Linked DNA regions of Kluyveromyces lactis. The protein of the gene in region 3 purifies or fractionates together with the protein of the main gene of each other region. This does not show direct contact. Links are inferred from orthologs where the notes say so. Each region holds a gene or a part of one and is shown on either strand. Other genes may lie near its edges.

The links.
Region 1: the proteins of PDB1 (region 3) and PDX1 purify together in Saccharomyces cerevisiae (affinity purification with mass spectrometry; 4 studies listed by BioGRID, with this or other methods). This does not show direct contact. The link is inferred for Kluyveromyces lactis from reciprocal best matches to the Saccharomyces cerevisiae genes PDB1 and PDX1.
Region 2: the proteins of PDB1 (region 3) and LAT1 purify together in Saccharomyces cerevisiae (affinity purification with mass spectrometry; 5 studies listed by BioGRID, with this or other methods). This does not show direct contact. The link is inferred for Kluyveromyces lactis from reciprocal best matches to the Saccharomyces cerevisiae genes PDB1 and LAT1.

Annotation. Positions count from the first base shown.
Region 1 is NC_006041.1:864,161-867,365, reverse strand, and holds PDX1 (Pdx1p), read right to left. Parts: upstream 1,763-3,205; coding exon 545-1,762; downstream 1-544. Other genes in the region: XKS1 (xylulokinase), read right to left, coding at 2,329-3,205. UniProt on the Saccharomyces cerevisiae protein: Required for anchoring dihydrolipoamide dehydrogenase (E3) to the dihydrolipoamide transacetylase (E2) core of the pyruvate dehydrogenase complexes of eukaryotes. This specific binding is essential for a functional PDH complex.
Region 2 is NC_006042.1:462,580-465,881, forward strand, and holds LAT1 (dihydrolipoyllysine-residue acetyltransferase), read right to left. Parts: upstream 1,950-3,302; coding exon 528-1,949; downstream 1-527. Other genes in the region: ribonuclease H2 catalytic subunit RNH201, read right to left, coding at 2,783-3,302. UniProt on the Saccharomyces cerevisiae protein: The pyruvate dehydrogenase complex catalyzes the overall conversion of pyruvate to acetyl-CoA and CO(2).
Region 3 is NC_006042.1:882,196-885,179, forward strand, and holds PDB1 (pyruvate dehydrogenase (acetyl-transferring) subunit E1 beta), read right to left. Parts: upstream 1,648-2,984; coding exon 583-1,647; downstream 1-582. Other genes in the region: TDP1 (tyrosyl-DNA phosphodiesterase 1), read right to left, coding at 2,707-2,984. UniProt on the Saccharomyces cerevisiae protein: The pyruvate dehydrogenase complex catalyzes the overall conversion of pyruvate to acetyl-CoA and CO(2).

The DNA.
Region 1 (3,205 bases), on a different chromosome or scaffold from region 3:
AATATCCTTTTACGGTTCCTGGTTTTTCAGACACGTGAACAGCGTACCGTTTTTTGTTTTTTTTGTACTTGAAACGAAAAACAAAAAACGGTACACATTACGTGCTGTTCTGTGGGGAAAAACGCGCAATTTTGTTCCTGTTTGTTTGTGTCTTTTTTTTTTTATTTGGGTTTCATTTCATCTCGCATTTCGCTTGCATCTCGCTTAGTTAGGCTACTGGTATTTTTGGAATGGAAAGCTGCTTAGTCTGAATAGGGCACTGGTGCCAGGTTGGTATTCTGCGAAAATATGATGCAGTAATTTTTGATGTTACTTTTTGATCTTCTTTACTGTGCCAAGACCATAAAGAAGTCTGAAGTGCCTGTTTGGTTGAATTCTTGAGTTGTCGTTTTTTTGTCTATTATACTGATAATATAGATATATATCTGCCGGCTCTTAAGTCCAGTCTATACAGCTTGCGGACGGGGCATGAATATTTCGAAGAAGATTTGGCTTCGGCTTCTTCTAGTTTTTTTTTCCTCTTTATGTCTTGTCGTAATTTTACTCATTGGAACAATTCCAAGTTAGATAGTTGGGCAACGAAATTTTCTGCTCTTTGCTTGGCATCCGTTAACGATTCGTCAACGGCGACGGAAACGTTCAACGCGTATTCGTGACGTGTTTGTTGTTGTTTGGATACTGCGGATGCCTCTTGTTGTAGTTCTTGCGTTGTTGTACCAGATAATAAATCAAAGATATCTGGTTGTGGTGAAGAGGTACGGTGTCTTGGTGTAGGTTCCAAGTCTACTATGTTATAAGTGACCTTGAAACGAGGTTTTGTTGGTTCTTGTACTAGTAACTCTTCGAATAATGGGTCGTATAGTTCGGATGCGTCATTGGTCAATGGTTCGTCGTGTGCCAAGAATGAACATTCCTTGACGTACGATGCTATCGCAGCAGATAGTTGGGAGTAAGTGACGTTTTCTGGGACATGGAGTGTGATCTGTTCGCTTAGTACTAGAGGTAATGGTTTAGCGGGTTTAGCAGCTTGTGCTGCTGCTGCTGCTGCTGCAGTTTCTCTAGCAGGTCTTAATTCGATGTTGGTTAGATCCAATTTCTCATGGGATTTGATGTACTCGGTTACCTTGTTCAACGAATCTTGGGAAATCTTACCCAAATAGGCTAGCACATCACCTTTTAAGATTCTACCGTTTGGACCAGTGGCCTTGATTTTGTCCAACGCATCTGCAGTTGAAATATTGTTTTCCTCTAGTAGTGATAGCACAGATGGGAATAATGTTTGAGATGCATTAGCCTGAACACTGCCGTTCTTAGAAGGTGTTTTTGAAGCACTGGTTTGCTTCTTCTTGTCAGTTTTTTCCACTGGTTTGGCCTCCTCCTTTTTAGTTTCAACTGGCTTTGATTCTTTCTTGGCTTCAACGGGCTTTGGGAACTCCAAAGTGGCCAAATCATCGTCCACATCAGCGATGTATGCAATGGGTTCCCCGACAGGAATATCCTTGGCACCGTTCTCCTTCAAAATTTTGGCAAGCTTACCGTCATCTTGTGCCTCCACGTCAATGGTTGCCTTGTCGGTTTCAACCTCCAAGAGCACATCACCGGCAGAGAAAGTATCACCAGCTTTGAACTTCCAATCAACGACACCGCCCCTTTCCATGGTTGGTGACATGGCAGGCATCCCAAAGGCTTGGGCCTTCAACATAGTTCTACATTGGTGTAATTGACGGAGACACGCCCTGTTTTTAATTGCTAAACGGAACATTATTGAATACAGGTTTTTTCAACAAACACACTACAGTCTCTCTCCTATATCTTCCGTACAGGCCTAACAAAGGATGGTTTTGCTTCTTTTCTGATCTGTGTCGTCCTTATCTATTGTAAATGATACTTTTAATTACCACCTTCTTTCGCTGAATGACGAATATAGGTTTCCAATTTACAGACTTCGTTTTTTCTACCAATAGATTGTCGATAAAATCGTCTTTCTCCCAGAAACAATTGACAACAAAAGTATTCAATTGAACTTTGTTCAAAGCTCTGTGTACTTGGACAATTCAATCTTTCACATATATACTTTATTTCTAAACCTTTCCCATAGTCTCATCTCAACGGTATAAAACCGTCGGGTGGGGGACTGTGTCGTCTCTAGTGGGATAACACTTTTTTTTTTTTTCACAAACAGTGGATAACGATTTCCGGGTAATGTCTTTGAGAGGTTCATCATGTGTACAAAGATTGATTGCCTACTTACTTACTTACTTACTTACTTGCATCATGGCTATTGATGCGTCACGGTCAATTGGAGGTTCATCTAACAGCGTTTTTGATTTAGTGTGATGACGCTTCTCTTTCAATCTCACTTAGAGTTCGAATCTTGTTGTTGTAGTTTTCCCATTTGGCAGCGTCCGAGTTACAAACAAACTCACAATCTCTTTCCCAGTTAAAGAATGCGTTCAACCATCGGTCGAACGATGGGGTTTCGGGGTTTTGCTCCTTGAGCAAGGACCATAGCGCCTTGTAGCAACCGCCTAGAGCACACGAATTTGCAGTTTCTAGTCTGTAGTTACCATTCTTGGCTCCAATGACATTAGCCATCGTTTTGATGATGGCTTCGTTCTTTGATGCACCACCGACGAAAAAGGCTCTATTAGGTCTCTTGGCGTAAGACGCTAAGGGGAAGAAATCATAGTCGAACTTCACCTTTAATTCTGATTTTAGCACTTGTGTTTCGTTGATCGCATTGGCCTCTTCGGATAACAACGGGGAAATTCTCACTCTGCAACTTAGCGCTTGTGATTCTACAATGTTCTTTGCATCAAGTCTCTTATCAGGGAACATATTGACATTTGTCAATACGACTTTATTGTCTATGTACTTGAAATAACATCTTTTAGTGACAGCATCCATGTTTGGAACAATTTCGCCTAATGGGAAATATAATCCAATTTCATTATCGTTAGATAATGAGTTATCCAGCAATGCCTCGTTAAATTTAGTCCAATCATGTGTTTGTGATTCTCCATTGATATCGTCTCTTATCTTTTCTCTTGCCAGAGATCCGTTACAATAACAGATCATACCCATGTAATGATTTGGCACCGTTGGATGGATGAACAAATGGTAATTTGGTGACGAATGGTACTGATCCGTTATCAAGAGGATCGTAGTTGAGGTACCCAGCGATATTAATACATCGTTTTTTTGT
Region 2 (3,302 bases), about 420 kb from region 3:
CAAGGGAACTGAGCCTGCAATTAAGATACATTACCTGGTCAAAGTGTTAGCACAAACTTGTCTTCTTTTGTAAACATTTTTTTTCCAACTTTATTCCTGTATTTCGGGCAATGTAAAAACAGTCACGTGGTCTAAAATATTAAAAGAACCTTGGGGACTGCTATGAGAGAATAAGTTCAGTAGTATATACAGTAAATCGGAGAGAGTGCTGTTATGCAAAGCGATTGCGAGGAATGGTAAAAACATGAGATATTCAATTTCTTACATTATATCTATAGAAATGGTAATTTTTTACATAGTTGCAGTATGTTAAATCGAATTCTTTCCATGCAAGGTTGTGGGTCGAATAAGTCATAACTGACCTACAACGTTGTTAAAAGGAAAGCGTGGCTATTGGCATACGGTCGAAAAACTTCGACTAGGAGAATTCGTTTTGGAATGTTGGTGGGTAGGCTTTTTTCTTCTTTACTTTGAAATTCTTAACTTTATTATTTTTGATCATTAGATTTGTTAGGTTCTGAATCTGTTCATAACAATAGTTCCAATGGGTTTTCAATAACCTTCTTCAATTCCTTCATGAATTCACCACCCTTAGCACCATCGATAGTTCTGTGATCGAAAGTACCAGTGATATTCATCTTTTGGTCAAAGGTGAAGCCGAATTCGGAACCAGCATCTTCGACTGGGACCTTGTTAACGGTACCGATAGCCAAGATGGTAGATTGTGGTGGGTTGATGATAGAGGTGAACATGGAAACGGCAGGGTTCATACCCAAGTTAGAGATACAGATAGTACCACCTTGGAATTCTTCTGGCTTCAACTTATTATCCTTAGCACGCTTACCTAAGTCCTTGATTTCCTTAGAAATGGAAACAAGGCCCTTGGATTCGGCGTTCTTGACGATCGGAGTCAACAAACCGGTTGGGGTAGCAACAGCGACAGAGACGTCAACGTTCTTGAACTTTCTGATGACACCTTGTTCTGGCATCCAGTAAGCATTAGCATCTGGACATCTCTGAGCAGCAACAGCAATGGCCTTGATCAAGATGTCATTGATGGACAACTTGTATTGGTCTTTAGCAGTAGCGTTCAAGGATTGTCTCAACTTCAAAAGCTTAGAAACACTAATTTGAGAGGAAACAATGTATGATGGAATATTTTGAGTGGATTGCAACAAACGGTCACCGATGATTTGTCTCATGTTACTGATTGGAACATCTTCATAAGTGGCGGATGCTGGAGTTGGGGCAGCTAGGGCTGGAGCGGCCTTAGCAGCGGAGGATTCACGAGATGGAGCCGAGGCCAAGAAGGCTTCAACATCATCCTTAGTGATTCTGCCTCTTGGACCAGTACCTTCAACTTCCTTCAAGGAAACACCATGTTCCAAAGCGATGCTCTTGGCCAATGGAGAAGCAAAGATTCTAGTACCTGAAGAAGCAGAAGATCCAGAGGATTTCTTGGCAGCTGGTTTAGAAGCTGGTTTAGCACCTTCCTTGGATTCTTCCTTGGATTCTTCCTTTGCAGGTTGCTTAGCACCATTCTTGGCAGCTTCCTTAGCAGCGGTAGCAGATTCGGCGTCTGCAGCAGTGAAATTAGCGAAAGCTGGAACGTCAGATTCTTCCTCAACGTAAACAGCAAGTGGCTTGTTCACTGGGATATCCTTGGTACCAGCTGGAACCAAGATCTTAGCCAAATAACCTTCTTCTTGGAATTCGAAATCCATTTGAGCCTTATCAGTTTCAACTTCAGCAAGGACATCACCAGGCTCCAACCTGTCACCAACGTTCTTACTCCATTCCGTCAAACCACCTTGAACCATGGTAGGAGACAAAGCTGGCATACCAATGATGGTGTATGGTGGGTAAGAAGCATACGTTCTCAATTGAAGTCTGGCAGCACAAGCCAAGACGCTCATTCTTGGAGCAACTCTAGAAAGTAATGCAGACATTTTTCCTAGTTCTTTTCTTAATATATGTACACAAACAATTGATTCGTTCCCGTAACTTGGTTAATACAATTGAATATCAAATGTAAGCCGATTTTATCTTCTGGTACAGTCAATTCCTGTGTCCAATTCGTAGTGAAATGTAACCTTAATAAATATTGATATCTCAGTTCTAAATGAAGGAGGAAAAGGCTTGATGTATTATTTCAATCTTCTTCTTTCAAGCGAGATCAATTACCAACAGGTGTAATCAGTGTTCCAATAGTATCGTCAAATGCACTAGCGAATCACAATCATTTTTTTTTCTCTTGTGCAATCTAATCGATGTTATTTACAGATAAATGTTCTCCCATCTAACCTTTTTCCTTTTATTTCTTGAGAATTTCAGTTTTCAGAATTTTCGAAATCCAAAATATCCACACTATAATGGTGCGACGGGATAGAAGGTGGGATGAACAGAAACATGCCCGTGATCCGCTGCAAACTGATAGCTGCTAGAAGGGTTTCCGTCGTGATAGTTATAAAGCTTTATATAATGGTATTTCTCGAGATGATATTTATCTCAATCCCAAACCTGCTCTTGAGCTGTATAAATGCTTTCACAATTGATGGAGTAGAGTAACTTACCGATTAATATGTGGTGTAGGGAGTTTACTAGTGTCAATTTTTGGCTAGTGCCAGCGGCCTAAACGGTGGCCACAATTGTGCCAGGCAATGCAAATCTCGAATGCGGGTAGCTTATTTCGTAATCTGATGACAGCGTCGCGACTGTCAATAGATAAATTCATAATACGTTGTATATATAGATAGTAGGATAAATGGAAATGAGTCAGGGTTTACTGGTACCAGGAATCAAGTGTAATAGGTCTGTTTTTCTGTTCGGGTGCCCACTGCATTTTTTTCTTGGTCATTGCGTCTTCTTCCCATTCTATTTCGATGGTAGATTTACTATTTGCGAGCATCGTGGCACATGTTTGCCAAGAGAACCGTACCATGTAGGGAGACCATCCCATCAATGGTTTCATCTCGTTTCGTAGCCATTGAACGGTTTTTGAGTCACCAGGATACCCTGACCCAAGGATTTCATCTTCGGTTTTCTTGCATTGTGAAAGGATGATATCTCTGGTCACTTTTGCTACCACACTCGCAACACTTACAATGGGGTAAATAGAATCAGCCTTTTTCGCAACGGTGAATTTGCACTGTGGGAAGATACTTTCCAATTTCTTTTGATACGAGATAGGCGGACCCACGGTATCGACGTACACGTGACCTACTTTAACACCAGATTTCAATACATCGTCTATCAATGCGATTGTCACATCGTGCGCCTGTTCATTCAAATTGTAATTCTTT
Region 3 (2,984 bases):
TGTATCCTACATCGCTAAAGCCATTTCAGCTTAGAAAGTGTAAAAGACAATACCTTGATGGAAATAACGACAAGTTGTACAGAAAGTAGCGCACAGCGTCTTGTTTTAACGGCAGAATATATATATACAGTTTAATCTCATAACAACCGCAGTTGTCCCCAAATACCTTATTGTTCCCATCTCTAGTGATGAAAACTTTTCTTCATCATTACTGATGGGCAACATACATGAAAAAAAATTGTAAAATCTCTAATTCATCAACTTACCTTTACCAGCGAATAATTCAACGACAGGCAACTCTATCTCATTCTATTTCCTAATCCAAAATCGTGTATTAACTGAACTTGGTATTCATATCTTAATAATATAATATGTTTTAATTTTTCTATTTTTCTTTGAAGTTTGTAAATCAATTCATAACTTAGTTTATTGCAACAAAGGAGTACAATCATAAGAAAAACCGAATGCGAATGAACCATCATGCACTATTCCTTATCCAATGAATATTCTCTTTTGTTTTGATAAAAAACGGAGGCCAACAGAGGTGCATAACTGTCAGTAAAGAAAGAGTGCACGGTGCAATCATTCAATAGACAAAACACTTTTAGCAGCTCTGACAATGGTGTCAGGGTCTGGGAAAGCAAAATCTTCTAATTCCTTAGCATAAGGAGTTGGGACTTCAGCACCAGTAACTCTTTGAATTGGAGCATCCAAATAATCGAAGGCTTCAGATTCCATAATTTGAGCGATAATTTCAGCACCAACACCGAAAGCTGGGAAAGTAGATTCAACAGTAATCAAGTGGTTGGTCTTCTTGACAGTGTTGATGATAGCTTCAACATCCAAAGGTCTAATGGCTCTCAAATTGATAACTTCAGCAGAAACACCGTATTGCTTAGACAAAATTTCAGCAGCTTCCAAAGAGAATTGAACATTTCTGGTGTAACTGATGATAGAGATATCAGAACCTTCTCTTTCAACCTTTGCTTTGTATGGCAAAGTGAAATCAGTAGACAGAGATTCTTCAGAGACTTCGAAAGATTGACCGTATAACAATTCGTTTTCCAAGAAAACAACTGGGTTTGGATCACGAATGGCAGCCTTCAACAAACCTCTAGCATCTTCAGCAGAGTATGGAACCAAAACCTTCATACCTGGAACAGAACCGTACCAAGCAGAATAATCTTGGGAATGTTGAGCAGCAACACCGACAGCAGAACCGTTTGGACCTCTGAAAACGATTTGACATTTCTGAGTACCACCGGACATATAGTAAGTCTTAGCAGCGGAGTTAATGACTTGATCCATAGCTTGCATGGAGAAGTTGAAAGACATGAATTCAACAATTGGCTTTAAACCCTTCAAAGCGGCACCAACAGCCAAACCAGTGAAACCCATTTCGGTAATTGGAGTGTCAACAACTCTTCTTTCACCGAAACGGTCCAATAAACCCTTGGTAACCTTGTAAGCACCATTATATTGAGCAACTTCTTCACCAATGATGAAAACATCATCATCACGGTCCATTTCTTCGGCCATGGCAGAATTCAAAGCTTCTCTGACGGTCATGGTCTTGGTAGAAGCAAATCTCATGGATTGAACCACAGAAGGAACAGCCCTCTTAAAAGTGTTAGAAAGCATCATCATGTTGTATTAGTATTTAATAATTTTGCCAGTTGAAAGTTTTTATCAATCGGGTACTAACGTTTCGTTTCACTACGTGTAATTCTTCTTAACCTTTAAAATTGTCTTCGCTTGTAAAACGTTTACTGAACCAAAGGAGAATGAATATTATACTAGAGTTTGATATCTTTTCGTTTTTCTTTTTCTTTTAAAGGTAGAAGAAATAATGTTTTGATAATTCGAAAACAAAAACGAAGCAATAAACAAACAGACAGAAGTTGTTGAGATGCGTTTGTTATAAGACAGACAAATTAGATAGTCAATTGTCAATTCTATAACTAAAAAGGATCCTTTTCAACTGAATTCTTTTTTATAATTTCTTGAATTTGATATTATTTTTTCACTGAAAAAAAATAAAAACTCGTTCTTTGACCTATTCAACAAATAGACGTTAGCCTCAGGGAACCGCTAATTGAGTGGGATTGGATGAGAATCTGTAGTAAGATTTATAAAACCTTTAAGAAATTATAAAGTAAGATTAAACAAGTATTGAATTACAGATCCATAAAGTATAAAAAATGAAACACAAAACAGAAGATAATACAATGAATAAAGGAATAACGACTCTAAAGAACTAACAACTTCCCTGGTGCTGAAATGACCCTCTTATATTTCTTTATATATTGGTGAAATCAAAATCCTTTAAAGGAATATATATGCGCTGCATAAGCTTTTTTTTATTCGTTTCGACTGTACGGGTCGAGCGATTCGCGGGTTGCTATACCGTTGTATTTATCTCATAGATATGCTAGCGCATAGTAAGTGCGCCATCACAAATCTGCTGAAAAAACCTGTTTTGGCGACGGGAGAATACGACATAGCAGATGAGATTGATGGAGGCGATGAGGTGTATAGGTGTTCAAACGACGGAAAAGGGTGGGGGCACGTGATGCGTGGGAATGATGCGGACATTGTCAATTTTTCTGTTATTCCGGTGTGATACCTAAATAATCCGGGTAACGTAAAGCGCTGACAGATGTCAGCGCCTTAGAATGTTGTTAGATGGTATTATTGTGTATATCATCATTGAACGACAGAGGTATAAGGTTCGTCAGTTGCTGAGTAACGCTGAAATTTCAATGGATACGGCGTCACCACTTTTACTGTGGGCAGAACAGTTATGTCTTCGGGTACCCTTGACCCAATTGTTCTTCCTGGCGGTTGTTGGGCACTTGCTAGTGTTAACCGTACTTTGTTTCTCCCCATGGTTGTCGTGTATAGAATACCGCATTCGTAATTGGTAGGTTTTTTTAGTGGGCTGGGACCCCATGCAGCTTGGGAAAGGTTATGACTGGTGAGTA